Linked DNA regions of Schizosaccharomyces pombe. Changing the gene in region 2 together with the main gene of any one other region gives a genetic interaction. Each region holds a gene or a part of one and is shown on either strand. Other genes may lie near its edges.

The links. Genes that interact genetically often act in the same process or in processes that back each other up.
Region 1: mutations in vps38 (region 2) and wwm3 together harm fitness more than expected from each alone (negative genetic interaction), as found in Schizosaccharomyces pombe (one large-scale study listed by BioGRID).
Region 3: mutations in vps38 (region 2) and plb5 together harm fitness more than expected from each alone (negative genetic interaction), as found in Schizosaccharomyces pombe (one large-scale study listed by BioGRID).

The regions. Positions count from the first base shown.
Region 1 is NC_003423.3:199,829-204,322, reverse strand, and holds wwm3 (protein wwm3), read right to left. Parts: upstream 2,043-4,494; 5' UTR 1,788-2,042; coding exon 1,356-1,787; 3' UTR 700-1,355; downstream 1-699.
Region 2 is NC_003423.3:1,803,843-1,809,214, reverse strand, and holds vps38 (phophatidylinositol 3-kinase complex subunit Vps38), read right to left. Parts: upstream 2,985-5,372; 5' UTR 2,954-2,984; coding exon 2,717-2,953; intron 2,487-2,716; coding exon 2,316-2,486; intron 2,252-2,315; coding exon 1,235-2,251; 3' UTR 898-1,234; downstream 1-897. Other genes in the region: arrestin-related substrate adaptor Any1, read left to right, coding at 1-813. UniProt on the Schizosaccharomyces pombe protein: Involved in endosome-to-Golgi retrograde transport as part of the vps34 PI3-kinase complex II. Mediates the interaction between atg6 and the pik3-ppk19 core complex, leading to the recruitment of atg6 to the membrane.
Region 3 is NC_003421.2:1,740,503-1,746,152, forward strand, and holds plb5 (phospholipase Plb5), read right to left. Parts: upstream 2,958-5,650; coding exon 1,086-2,957; 3' UTR 700-1,085; downstream 1-699. Other genes in the region: wtf antidote-like meiotic drive suppressor Wtf16, read right to left, coding at 8-146.

The DNA.
Region 1 (4,494 bases), 1.6 Mb from region 2:
GATTGCCCCAAACCATAATTCGTCATTCCTAGTTTACGAATTTACGAGTTCCATTAAAGTGGTATTAACGTGTTTTTAAAAGTACTTCACTAATTATCGAAAGCTGTTCATGGAAAATAGACTGCCAATTTGTTTTATTCAAACTCAGAATATCAGGGTTTCACTAATGCTGCTTGACTTGAAACATAGCTAATTGAAAAAGGAAAATTGCTCTTATTACCCTTTTTAATCGCCGGCTTTGCTTAAAAACAAACGGTTTTGCATTGCTATGAAAACCCTCGACATTCATTTGATAATTGCCAGGTACAAATTTACGTATCCTTACTGAATAATCGTAATATGAACAAATAAATGTTGTACCGTAGATAATATTTCTTAATTTTGAAATATATTAACTTTTCTTATTTCATTATGTGTATCCAAGAGCCAAGTTATATTTCTCTTATTTTAAACAGCTTGATAAATACAGGTTTTAAACGATTCAAATGATATCTGTTTGTCTTTTAAAATAGTGGTATGACATCCCATAAGTGTAAAAAAAATTTTTTTTCTTTCTGCCTTAATTTTTTCGGAATTGTGCATTTAATCCAAAACCAAACAAATATCTGAGTTTGCCAATTATATAGTCAGTAATACACCACTATAAACTATTCAACTAAAATACCCAAAAAAAAAGGACAACTAGTAATGAAAAAACAATGATAATAATAAATGAAAGATATATAATTGACTATTTTAAATCATGCATAATAAACTAATTTAACGTCTGAAAAAACAACCATTGATTTTTTAAAAGTTTCAAAAATTGTGCTTCACCCAATTTTTTACAATTAACCAAAAAAAAATATAAATAAATAAGTAAATACACGTCGAAGTGATAAATGCCAAAAAAATGATTCCATCGACAACCAACTCCGTCGATATTCACACCCATTATAATATATGCTCCTTACTTCTTTGGTATTAAACAGAAATTTTATAAATTAGACCGTTTTCCTCGAAATCCCAATAAAGAATGCAATGGTACAATAAATAAGGAAGCTTGAAACAAGTAAAGATCAGATGATAACAAAATTAATATAAGTAAACAAGAAATTAGGTCAAAGAACGACTAACAGAATATAACAATTTTAGAACGATTAGCAAAAATAGTATGAAATTTCAAGGGAATAAAAAGAACTTCACTGGATATCGTGTTTTCCATTTAACAATTTCGAAAGAGTCGTATACGTGAATTTGGTGATTCTATTCAAAGGAGAAAGTGATGTTCTCAAAAAAAAAGAGCGATTCCATAATCAACGACCATAGTATGTAGGACGAAATCGGAACCAAATTTAAATAAAAATCAACGCTTTTCATCTGCGGCCACGTCCACCACGTCCACCCATGCGTCCACCACCGCGGCCGCCGAAACCACCGTGAGGACCATGAAGTGGGCCATGATGGCCACCACCGATTCTTGGACCAAACAAAGGGCCTCTGGGAGGAGGAGGGGCGTAGTAAGCACGGTGACCACGAAGAACACTGCCGGCTAAAGCTCCAACCATGAAACCTCCTAATCCAGCCGTCATAGACCGTGAGCCGTCAGAAGAGCGAGGCACGTCCTTTTGATAGACGACGGTAGTGGTACCGGGAGGAGGAGGAATATGCAAGCCTGGAATAGGAGGCTCCCACTGTGGTTGAGCACCTTCAAACGTTTCATTAATGTAAAAGTAAGCTTGATAAGTTGGATCCCATTGGGCGACCCAACCAGCTGGCAAGCCCTTGTAAGTTTGATAAACAGACATCTTTCGATAAAGTAATTAATGAGAAACTGTAACTTAGAAAAAAAGAAGTAGTGAGAAGTAGAGTATGTCTGTTAAGAATTATTAATAGACAGGCACAAATGTCAAAAGAAAAAAAGAATTAGCAGCGAAGTAGAAACGGTATGTATAACAAGAAAGAATTTATGATCTCGTTATAGTAAGAATGAAGAAAAGATTAGAATAACGAATGCTTTGAAAATGAAGCAAGTAAAAAAAATGATTGATTGAAATTAGATTGACGAAAAGGTGAGGAAAACTCGCAAATAAATAAAGCTTTGCATTAGGACATAGCCGACGGACAATACGTCACTTTTGTGGGGAAATGATGAGTTATTGCGTAGTTGTAGTGTGGAAGCGAGTGCGATTTGAACTCTTTTTCTTCCATCGGAATAGAAAACATATGAGCGGGGCCGAAAGCTGCCGCAATCTATTTTGCGATTGTGTACCCGATATCCTAACAGCAAAGCAGTGAATTGGAAGATGAATTTACTACAATATCTGTAGTGTCTTTTAGTTACATTCAGAAAAGAAATTGATACGAAAATGTGCACGCTAAAAGCTCAAACCCATGTATACTTATGATCTTCCAATTGTACAAATTATTGCTATTTTCGCTAGTCTATAGATCGATCAGCCATTGACGTCAGCGCTCGTTTAGTATTTGAAAACAAACGCCAAGTTAGGTGTTTGTTTATTAATGTGTTTCTTTGGGTATATGAGTGTATGAAAATTCGACTCAAGCTCCTGTTAACACTTGATCTTTCTTTTGAATCGCGAATAGCATTGACTCCGATATCTCGGTTCAATTTTTTTGAGTAAATAGTAAACGTACGTTTCATAAAACTAACTTTAACAAAAAATTATCTACTTAGTGAATTAGTTCTCACTTGGATAAATACTTGTTTTTGTCAAGCTTTTAGCATGGTCAATTGATATCAAAAGGAACTCACTCCAAAAAAAATCGACCCCACTTGGGTCCATGAACCTCTCTTGTCTTGCATCTCTCAAGGACTGGATGGATGTGGGGGTTCGGGGAATCAAGAGTTTTCAATGGAGTAAGTGCAATCAAATAAATCAAAGCGACAAAGGATTAGAGCGAGGAGACGAGAAAAGATGGAAATACAATGAGTAAATTCGTATTAAAATTGATATCGTTTTAACGAAGGAAAAGAGAAAGTTACTCTACGTAGGTTTGCAAAAAAAAAATATATAAATGTAGATGTAGATGTAAAATTAATGTTAATGAGAAATTTGAAATTAAGGAAGCATAAATAGTATGGAGACATTATAGTTAATATGGACGATGAGTTAAAAGGAATAATTGGTTTAAGTGAAGCTAAAGAAAAATAAAAATAAAAAAATAAAAAGATGTCATTTAATATTAAATTTAAAAAAGACAACACACACATAAGAACTATTCAATAAAATAAAATAAACACAGTACAATAAAATAAAATAAATAACGATCTAACGAAACAGGAAAAAAAAAAAAAAATAATATATTACAAACAAAAAACAATCTCAAAAAGCTATCTTATAATTTGAGTATCCTAACCATAATATTTATTAACTCATATGTAAGTTTATCTTGGTAGAAGCTTTACCTTTAAGAATTGACTTCATTCCTACTCGCATCGCATTTGTTGCTTCTATTTTAGAGATAAAAGCTCTTTTAATTGAACTTATGCTTTTACCAACACGGCACGTGAATCAAGTTAGAATAATAGTCTAAATGTCCACAAAGGGTGGTTTCTCGTTCTATGAATAAATATAGTAGTAGCTTAGTGAAAATTCCACGGGACATTAGTTTATATAAGAATAAAAGTGAATGTATGAAAATTACATGTGAAGAATAAATTTGTGGTAAAATACACGTCTTTTAAAATATAGCTAATAGCACACATATTTTGAAGCATGCTTTATATCCTGCTCTTTCAATGCAAGGTTATTATCCCATTCTGAAGCCACATACCATCAACCCACGAAAAATCTCGTTAAATAAACAACACCAAATTTCCTTATTGCTAATAGGAAGGGCGGGATGAAAACAATCAACCTCAAAAATTTCTCCCTCTCTTTAATTACCTGGATGACCAGTCATTATAGAACGAATTTATTTTCTCCACTTCTTTCTATATCTTAAGGTTCATTTCTCCTCCTACTAACTACTCCATCCACCCACCCACCTTTAGCACTTCCCAATCATCTACGTCACAAAGCATTAGTACTCATCATCGAATTTCACAATTTCTGATTTTCGTTGCTGCATTCCAGCACACTACACTGCGCCATTTAGCTGTATAAGCCATGTTATGTTGATTCTGAGTTAACACAGGTAAGAAGACACATAAAGCCCACTTTAAACTTGAACTTGTATTCGTGTGCTCTAAAACGTACAACACTATACCAAAGCAGCACGAGAAAACAAGTTCAAGTTTAAAGAGACATAATAACACCTACAGCTACACAATGGCGATCAATCATACACAATTGCTAGACATCAAATCATAGGCAATTGGGGTCGATCTTATGTAATTGCTGTGGGTATGCAATTGAGGTCGGTGATGAAAGCAGCGGTCATGCTCGCCTCTCAATCCTTTACGAATGTATTAAGGGAGTGCCATGCCATGCCATGCCATTTTCTCAGTCACGTAAACCTCGATACGATACAAGCTCTAACCTTCCCATC
Region 2 (5,372 bases):
CAGACTTGGGATTTAGCTGCAAATACCACATATAGACCTGGTACTCAGCATTGGCCTTTTAGTTGGCTTTTCCCTGGTTCGCTTCCTGCTTCGGTTTCTAACAGATACATCAAGCTTGAGTATTATTTAGAAGCTACGTTATGCTATGGTACTCCTGAAGGCGGAATTTCTCCCTCGAAGCCCGAAGTTCTTAAGTTTCCTCTCCAACTAAAGCGAGCTGCCATTCCTTCGCCTGATACCATCCATAAACGTATCTTTCCCCCTACGAATCTTGTTGCAAACATTACTTTGCCCAGTACCTTGCATCCTCATGGAGCTGCGCTTATGGAAGTTACCATGACTGGTTTTGCCCAAAATGACGGCAACGATTGGAAGATCAATAGAGTTACTTGGAGATTGGAGGAGCATATGCAGTTTAGTTGTCAACCATGTGAACGCCATCGTGATTTGGTAAAACCTCGACCTATTGAAGAAAAAAGAATTTTGAGTACACAAGATTTACAATCGGGATGGAAGTTCATTGATAATCAGATGTTTCTATCTACTCAAATTAACACATCTTCTTTAAGAGAGCCAAGCTGTGACGTGGAAATTCCTGCCCCTTTTTCCTTAAAAGTCTCTCATCATTTAATTTTTGAGACCATTGTTAATAGAAAAAAGAACGTTGCGGGAAACAATATGGGCAATGCCCGTATCTTACGAGTATCAGTCGTTCAGCCACTTACCACGCCAGCTGGTTTAGGTATTAGTTGGGATGAAGAATGCCCGCCAGTTTTTGAAAGTGTAGGACCCGCTCCGCCTGCCTATACCTAGAATATGTGGGTCGGATGTAACCGGAAGAGCTCGATCACCATCACATAACTATCAAAAAATGAACATGGCTCTTTTTATTTTTTAATTCACAAGTTTTATTAATTTAAGGGAACTATTTATAATATCTACATTCATCATTATCTGTTTATTTTTATATTTTAAACGTAAATGCATTGTATAGTAGTTGTCGCAATGACAATGAGTAATATGCCTTCGGCAAATGTCCATAAAAACTCTTCATTAAGATGATTAAAATTAAACCGTGAAATGGGTATATGAATTTCCAACAAAGAATACGAAAACGAAATTGATTGTTGAGAGTAAACTAGGGTGAAAAGATACAATTAAACGATAGACAAGTTATGCGTAGTTTTGCAATTAACGATAATTTAGGCTTATGGTGCCTAAGCTTATGGAATTGTTAAGGAGCGGTAGACGTTACTTGTACAAAAGATAGATGTTGTCCTGATAAAATAAATTGGAGCAGTTTTTTAAAGTTCCTGAGTATGTCCATGGATTGGTCAATAGGTAATCCAAAAGTTTCTAAAAAATCATTTACATCCTGGTTGAGAAGATAAATGGCATGTTCAAAAAGCTCAATTGGTCGAGTTGCTGGATAAAGGGGAAAGATACGCGTGGGGATGTCGGGTGTCAATGTATCCAGGATGGAGGATCTCGAAGATGCGCAAAGAATTGGATAAGCGAGTTCTTTTTCGAGATACTTTGAAAGAGTTTGAAGTAAATGCGCCAAAAATCCTATGGAAGCAGCCATTTCCACATTATTAATTTTATCTGGCTCAAAAGATAGGCGGAGATTGCGAATTGTAAACTCGTCATGATTGCCAGGCGATGGTTGGATTGGGTAAATTTTGGAAAGATGGGAAACGTGCATACGAATAGCATGTGCCATAAGGATTCGAATCTCTATATTGGTCTCTACTTTTGTTTTTAAAGAATTGGCAAGTTCCACATACTCAGCTTCATCTTTTTGAAGGGATTCTTTGGATTTGTTCAAAGTGTTCCTTTTTGAGGATAACCAGCTTTTCGTCTTGTCAAATTTCGTCCTCATCTGAGTGATGCTATTAATTTGTTTTTGCCAAAGATGTTCTAATTTAGCCAGTTCATCGATTTTTTCATCCCGAAGTAACATCCTTTTGTGCATCAAACGTATCTGCTGAAACTCCTCCTCCTGAAAATGAGCTCGAATTTCATGTTTAGCAATGTGCATTTCATCTATGCATTCAGCCAGTTTCAAAATTCGAGTGATTTTCTGAATAGTGTAACCATCCTTCCGCCTGTCTATAGAATATGTGGAGGCACTTTTTGGAAAGGAGGTCTGTCTCATAATATCCGAAGACTGGGATGTTGTGTAGATGTAAACGCCATCATTAAATTCACATAAAAGACCGTTTCGAATATGACAAACTGCAAAAACAGGCTACAAATAATATGTTAGTCAACACAAGGGAAACATAAGGTAAACCAAAAATATTCAACCGTACATCATTACCAATATAACGAAAATTACTGTCATATCTCAAAATTTTCCATTCTTTATGTAGCTTGAAGGCATGACTACTTGATGAGCACCAAGTCCTCACGATAAAGTACTCTTCGTGACGGTATTTTTGAAGCTTTTCGGTTACTTTTTCATCGACGTAAAAGATGTGATTCTAATGAGAGGTTAGACACAAAGAACATAAATACATACAAAATTTGTATATGGGTAAAAGAGATACAAGGTATAAACTATCAATTGAGGGCTTTGTTTCAAGGATTTGAGCAACGAAATTTTGGCAAATCACTTGTATAAACAAACTGATTAACCTTTTCAATCAAGCAAATAACCTAGATATAATGATACCATTCAGATACTTTTGTTTATCAAAGCATGTTCACATACAGCATTTCCGCTCGTTTCAGTAATATAAACAGGCAATTTCTTACTCTGCACATGCAATGATATAAAAATACGAATAGTTCCTTCGGAAATTGCACGTTTTAACTGCACATCTCGTTTCCACAAATTTTCCGTCGTATTGATCGCAAATTTGCTATGATTTTGAATTTCTTGAACATTTCTTATTTGTATTGATTTAAGCCTGGAAAGTCGGTAGTTTCCTGGTAATTCAAGCGACATTCTATCATGGTTAAAGCAATGAATGCTTTTGCTTCATCGCATCGCCCTACTTGGTAAACTCAGCTGAGTCTGGTGCTAGCGTAGGATAACAATATACTGGTTTAGTTCGTTATTGTCAGCAATACTACACTACGCAATGATACTCCACGTTGCATATCACTATATGTCACATGTTCACAATGTTCTATTTGCTCTATCAACTATTACATGATAAGTCATCAAGATGGAGATATAATATCATTCATGATAAGATAACTATCAGATATAATTCTTACTACTTCAAATATTATAAATTGAGAACAACTGAACCTCGTCCCTCAGTTCAGTTATAAGATATATTAGTGATAGGTAACATTATAACCTAGTTAATACAATACCTATACTCAGTTGCTACTCATACAACCTGTGTATTGTAATATAATAGATCACAAGGAAAACTCACCGCAGTTCTATGTATCCTTAAATCAGATACCAAACTGCGAAGCTAACATTATATGCACTTTATTGTCAGCAGCAAGACTTCACTAAGCCCTTTTGCGTGTCATTATATGCTACCATTAATTAATTGGATTATAATACTATACATAATATAATCGTTAAATGTATTTATATTAAATTATATTTAGATAATTCTGAAACTTTGCCGTAATATATCTTATTCTTAAAGCTGGCCACTGATCCTTTAGCTCAGAACTCATTCTTTAAGGAAATTTAGTGTCTTCCGTAATGGTTGAATGAATTTAAAAAGGTTCAATAAAATAATATAGCAGAAATTAACTGTAAAGAAATTTTTTAATTGATAACTGATGTGAGTTTGAATCAATGGCGAAAATTTTTTTTTTTAATTGCTTTATTACTGTCTTCGAAAATTGATGTACTATGGCCCAGATCATTATGAGCAAGAAGGTCTGAGCCAAAAAAAAAAAAAAAAAAAAAAAAAAAAAAAGAGTAAATCAAACATTATTACCAACAAAAAAGCACGCTTTCAGTTTTTACTATTCATTTGTCCGCTGAAGAAGCACAAAAAAAAATTTGATACTTTGTTTTTGAAAACAATTTAACCATATTTACAGTCAGCAAGAAATAAAACGCAGAAGAAGTAAGTGAAATAAAAAATAATTTAGAGCAATATTATAAGCAACCGAACAGAATTGCTATGATCAAAATGGTATTTAAGAAATTTAAACAAATTCAATAGTAAACGCTGTTACATGTTGCTAAAAACATTATCGGCCAAACCAGTAGAACTTCCAGAGTGAGCTTATTTTCCTTATTATAGGTTGGACTTGCTAATGTTGTTTAAATAATTTAACTATAGATATATTCTGTAAACAATCGAAGTGTCATCAAGCCCGTCCTGAAGAAACCCGATAAAAGATCTAAAAACACAAATTAATTTACAGTCACAATAAACAAATTAAATATTTTTTAGTATGCGGCGATAATTTTCGTTAAGAAAGGAACCAGTAACAGTGGGTATTGCATATGTGCATACAATTGGAATGTGGAGATGAAATGTAAATAAAATCTGCAAACATGATAAAATGAAACTTCAAGTTATTTTATAATTTAAATCCACTTTGATTTGACTTCCGTCTGATATGTCAAACGAGGCAGAATGAACATTTGCTTTACGAGTTAGGATGAAATCCTTGTTCACGCTCTTTCGCTTCAATGTTTTCAATTCATGCAATATTGTATAATACTCTCCATTTCTTTAATTTAAAAACTGAGAAAATTTTATTGTCCAGTTAGAAGGTCTATTTACAAATGAGTGATGTGTAAACATAGAAAATGAAAGTGTAATCGATTTGGAAAGAGGTCTCTCTCTAAATGTAGCACAGATAATGGATGAACAACACCCACCTAATCGGGTAAGGATTTTAGTTAATAAGAAAAAATTGTATTATTAAAAAAGGATGTTTTGCTTTTCCATGTACGGTATGCTCACCACTAATGTGTTGATGAGTACTGTTTATAGCTGGTCGATTCGCTCAAAATATGTAAAGCATGGCACATCTTTATTTTCCTCATATATTTACGTTGGAATTCATAATTTAAGATTTTTTAGGTTCTCCAAACCGTAATGATACCTATTGAGTTGAAATAAATATCGGCAATGAGTACGTGCAGACTTAAAACTCAGAGCTTCCGTGGAGAACAGGATAATTAATTCTTTAAATCTGAAACAAGAAAATGGTGATGTTGAACAGCGGCACATATTAATTTCTATAAAAATAAACATAATGATTTTTGAATTACAAAGTATTGAATGGTAGTTACAACTGATACCTAAAAAGATATAGTAAACCTACCAAAATCTATTGAGCTCGACCAACAAATAGGAAATAGTATAAAATACAGTTCAACAGAACTAACTCGCTCCAAACCTGTTGTGGAGTTCTACAGTCTCGTTGTA
Region 3 (5,650 bases), on a different chromosome or scaffold from region 2:
TTCTTACCCGAGTATGGAGGCAGTGCGCCCTCTTCCTCTGAATCATATTCTGGAAGTAGCCCTTTTTCCAAATCGATTTCATGTCCTGTCTTCGATTCATCTCCTTCATCTATAGGACTTTTCAAGGAAGTGTAATTATTCTTCATTTTTTCAAGATCATTCTTTATTTAATAAAATACATGCGCGAATTAATTGCTATAATTGCGACAAACGAAACAGCGAAATCAAGAATTTTCACTCTGGAGCCCAATTTCAGCCGTTCAACATAAAAAACGAGCAATTTCTTTCAAAGAAGACTTCTCTCTTTAATAATAGTAGGTAAAAGTTAAAATTCGAAAACTCATTTTCAAAATGCAATTGCTTCTGACACATTTATTTTGTCACTGCCCTTTTTATTTACCCTAACTTAGCTTTCCTTAAAACGTTTTTGAGAAGCAAACGTTGTAGTATAATTATAATGTCAGCTACGCAGTTTGGTATCTGGTTTAACGATATATAGCACTGCGGCGAGATTTCTAGGGATTTACAACATAGCGGTATGCGCTTTGTTAACTAATAATATTATATTTATTGTTATAAAAAGTCTAGTAGTATCGGTCACCGATATAGCCAATAACTGAACTGAGGAATGAGGTTCAGTGGTAGCTCTATTTATATTTTTCTCTAGTTGCTACCAATGTGTAACTTGTGTAGATAGATGGACAAACAGCTACAATCATCAATAAACTAATGTTATGTATATTTTAGCATGACATATAGTGCTACGCAACGTAGTATATCGTAGCGTGCTGGACTACTGCTGACACAGTATTTGAGTTGAAACATTTCTGCAAAGGTTACATAAATTAGTGTCATTTAGAGCTTAGGAATTCAAATTCGATGGTGTTAATGGCTTCTTGAAGCTTTTTTCATTCCTATATTTATTCACTATATCTTCCTTCTCGTTGTTTATGAGCAATAAGTAAAGAGCCGACTTTTGCTGGTTCTTAGATTAGTGAATATATGAACATTAGTGTTTCAATGCTTTACGCTCTATGCTACCATGGAAAAGATCGAACAAAATGGATTGTCGTGAGCGTTGCATACTAAATCTTGGCTGACAGAACTGTAGGTGCATATGTAGTAACGGTCGTGCTTGCAATTGTTCCATTCCAACAGTATTGATTAAAGCAAGAAGCACATTGACTTGGAGTCGACATGTTTTTGCGTTCCAAGGAACGTTGAACGAGAGCGCATGCAACGCAGACAGCAAATGAATCACTGTTATTTTGGGTAGCAGCAACAGCGGCATTTTCAATCATTCCACTGGACAAAGTATCTTCCAGTTGAACAGTGTAGGTAGTGACATTTGCATACATAGTCCAAGGATAGTTGGGGAAGTAAACTACAAGAGGAGGAGTATCGTCATTAACGGTATGGTTTCCGGCTGTGGTGTTTCTACCGTCGCAACCGAAGAAAGTTGGATGAGTGTTCAAACCAAGAGCCAAAAATGTGTTGGTATCAGGAATATATGGGAAACCACGAACGCCAGAGGAGTTAGTGGCTAAAACTCTTTCATATGTAGAAACTAGGGACGATCCATCTGGCCATCCACTCGTTGCGCTTTGATAACCCCCGTCAATCGCAAAAATAACATCTACGTCTCTTTGTGGATGAAGCAAGGGCCAAAAGGGAATACCTTCACTATCTGAGCCACCGTCTATTAATTCAATAATGGGATACGGCTCCAAGGGATTGGTAGTGGTTGTATTGGAAGCATTTCCATAACCTTGGTAAGGGTTGGGATAAAGACCTACATCCAATTGATCTTCGGCAAGCATTTCGAGGAAACTAAGGACAGCATTGTTAAAGGTATTATTACTAGCGGTGAGTGATGCATTTGTCGCAGGAAGGATACCGCTAAAAACATTTGAAGAGGTACCCATGAGGAAACCAGCGTTGTCGAAATTACGCACACAGGATTCATTAAGAGGAATGCCATTAATAAGGTGTGTACCTGTATACTCCATGGGTATAAATGATTCCACCCCAGTGTCCCAAGTACCAAATTCGATGGGTGTAAATTCAAAGACAGTGTCGTTCAAAGGGATTACGGTTTCACCCTCTATGACATTATCAGCAATGATGATGGGAAAGGGAAATTCACCATCCTGGAACCACGTTTCATTTGTTACACTAGAGAATGTAGTATTAGCACCTCCAGTCAAAGGATTGACAAGCTTAAGAGCCAAAGCACGGCCCCAAAGGTCAGTAATGGAGACATTGAATCCAGCATTCTTCTTTTGCAGAACTTGCTCAAACCACTCTTGGTAAATATAAAAGTTCTCAAAAGCGTCGTCATAGGGAGCGAAGAGACTGTGGTCCAGGTTCCAAACGTCGTCGTGCAAGAAAGTAATATTGGCAAAGTTGTTAACCGCAACAGATCCCACAAGCCAAGAGCCACCAGAAAGACCAGTAAGGTACATGGAAGATTGAAGAATACCACCAAGAGACGTAGTGTTACCATTTCTAGCATCAAATGCATTAATAGCGCCGGCTCCCGTTAACATGGCAGGAAATCCACCGCCAGAGATTGCAATTCCCAAACGAGGGCCATCTGTGTCATTCAGCACACTTTTTGTATCGATTTTTAAGCCGGTTTTTGAAATAAAGCTTTCCAATGCACTGTTAACCTTTGAGACACGTTTGTCAACAAATTCTTGTTCACCAGTACTAAGGCCATCGGAGGCAGGTCGAAGCAGAGAGCCACTAGGGCAAGCAACAGTATAAGGCGCATACGATGGGCTTGTGCTACGCTTGGAAAGGGGTATAGAGTTTGCTGGCTTATCAACGTTATCGGGTTTCAATAATCCGATTAGTTCTGGGTCTGAAACGTCTACTTCATCGATACGAGAAGGAAGGCCCAAGGCCGGCAAAAGCTGGAGAGCGAGAAATAATCCAAAGGAAGATAATTTCATGTTTAAAAAAAAATAAAATAAAAATTAAAAAAGCAAGGTTGGTTTAATAAAGGATAAAAGGATAGAATACGGTCAATGATTCGTTTTTAAAAAAAGTTCGAATTTTTCAATTTTCTCTGAATCCAAAAAAAGCAAGAGAGTGATTAACAAACAGCGAGTTTCTAAAGTCTGAATTTTTTGAAATTTTCTGAGAATGAAAAAAATCAAGACAATGAAAGTAATCAATTAAAGAGCTTTCAATTGTCAATTCCCAATCTAGTAAGTTCAACGAAAAATATTTAGATATCTAGAGAGTCCGTCGAGCTACAATGTCAATAAAAGCAAATTAAGCATTTGATGGAGCGGTTCGGCAAGCGATGAGCTTAAACTATATTTCCATCAGGACACCTAGTTTTGTCGAAAAGGTTGGGATGAGACAGGATTTCGACATATTTCCAAGAAAATAATATCATGTTCTTTTTTATGATTTAACCTATCTTTTTCCATTGAAATAAAAAAATCCCAATTCAAATTTTCAAGTTGGGATTTTGCTTACCCACCGTCCGTTTTAGGAATAGACAGACGTTTTTGCTCATTTCCTTGCCAAACACAAACCGGCCTTGCCAACTTTCTAGGCATTTGTAAATTGCTTGCTTACCTACACAGATCACACTAAAGAAGGATGAATCACTGATTGTTTGTTTTAACGGGATTTACCGATTCAATCACTAAAGTTGCAACCTTTATTCATTTATTCCCAAGTGCTATATATATAATATATATAGGCTTTTGAGGATGAACTCACTTGTAGACTCACTTTTCGCATGACCCACGTTTCTCATGATCTGCTTACCTTGATCCGCAATTCGGCGTGGACTAGAAGGAACTCCGAAGATGCCATCTATGATGTTAACGATTTTCTATATGTAGCACCGTGAGATTATGAAATGGTGGTCATATTACTAAGTCTTTAGATGCCAGTTGGAGTTGGATTGCCTAGTTATCATTAGCATTCATGGGTACCATTTATGCCCTATTCAATAAATATTTCAGCGATTCTATAATGGAATATTTAGATCAACCTAGGCTCAGCTTTAAATGACGGGATGAATATCAACGGCTAAATTTATAAACGGATACCAACCCGATTGCTGCGAACTCACGGATGTAAAATTGTCTGGTAATGCAAATCATCGACAAGTCCATGATGAAACGACTTTCTATTTTTTTTTTACTTCTATTAACGTCATTTAATGTCCAACTCTTCTAGGAAATCCCCAAATTCGAATATTCAATAAGGTAATGGGGTGCGATGTTTTTAGTTGATTCACATTGGAAATATTTCAATTCGAGATATGAAAAACCATTGATAGAAACAGATAGAGTAGAAGTTATTGCTTGATGCAACAAAATTTGAAGATTTGTTAATTTACAGATTTGCTATTCTACAAAGTCTCATCCCTACAAGCAGAAATGGATCTGAATAGCGATCGCTTTAGTTAGGTCATAAGATCGGCAGTCTAAACGTTGACCGCACATGGCTACATTGTAGCCTTTATATTCTTTCTTTCTATTCCAGTTATAAGCTGATACAGTAGATCTTGAATTTCATCAGTTTGTCAAAATATCTCTCTCGTTTTATCATACTTTACAAACCCAAAACACAAACATAAGAAACTGCACTGAACTAAATGCAAAGCTATAAGGTATTGTAACAAGCTCACAATGTGATATATAACCATTTCGACAGAGTTATTAAGAGATACATTATTTTACACTTTGTTTAAGAGTTCCCGTGTATCCAGACTGTATACCTCCTTTGCTTAGTTCCCGTGTCTAAGGAGCTATAACAAAGAGTTTTGTAAACCTAGATTATGCACTGGCTTGTACGTCTTAAATAAATTTAAAGAACTACTGAAGTGTCATCGGTATGTGATGAATCCTTAGCGTAGCAAAGGCAGTTGAGGTATTAAGGTCAACGAATACTGTATTATAGTAAGTTTCGCAATACAAGTTAAGCAACAACTCGTCCAAAATCACAAATACCAACTTAAGGAGTGATAAACTAGATATGCGTAATTGTGGAAATTTGTCGCACAGCTGAATACTCCCTAAGTGTAATATATAGTTAGCCAAATTAAATTAAACTAAATGGAAAACTCTGATAACTACTTGTGTTTGGTGTATAAAACTTCGAAGTTGCTTATCTCTTTACAATGCCTCTATAGATTTTTTGTTTATGGTCTTATAGCTGAGGCTACCTTTAAAGATGTGCGACCAAGAGCAACTTTGGTAAAAAATTTACTGAAGGATGAAGTTGTATGAGATTTCGTATTTAAAACAATTTATCTTCTTCATTGATTAAAATTATATGAAGCGCTTTTTTTTTTCAACTAGAAATCCCTAAAAGAAAATAGAAATAATATTCAAAGTGAAACTCTCTATTTACGAAATGGATACACTTAGATTTTTAAAACACATTCAAAAGTACTATTGAGAGGAAATGATTGTTTTTACCAGTGTATTCTTTAAATGTGTAGGATGATAATGGAGTTATCATTATTGTTATGTAAATTATTTGATAATATACCGGATATCGGTAATGAATTGAAATCTTGCGAATCTAAAAAATACAATGAGAAATGAATTCACATGAAATATTCAGAAGTAAAGTACTTCTAGGATCCTATCAAGCATGTATGAAGAATCACATA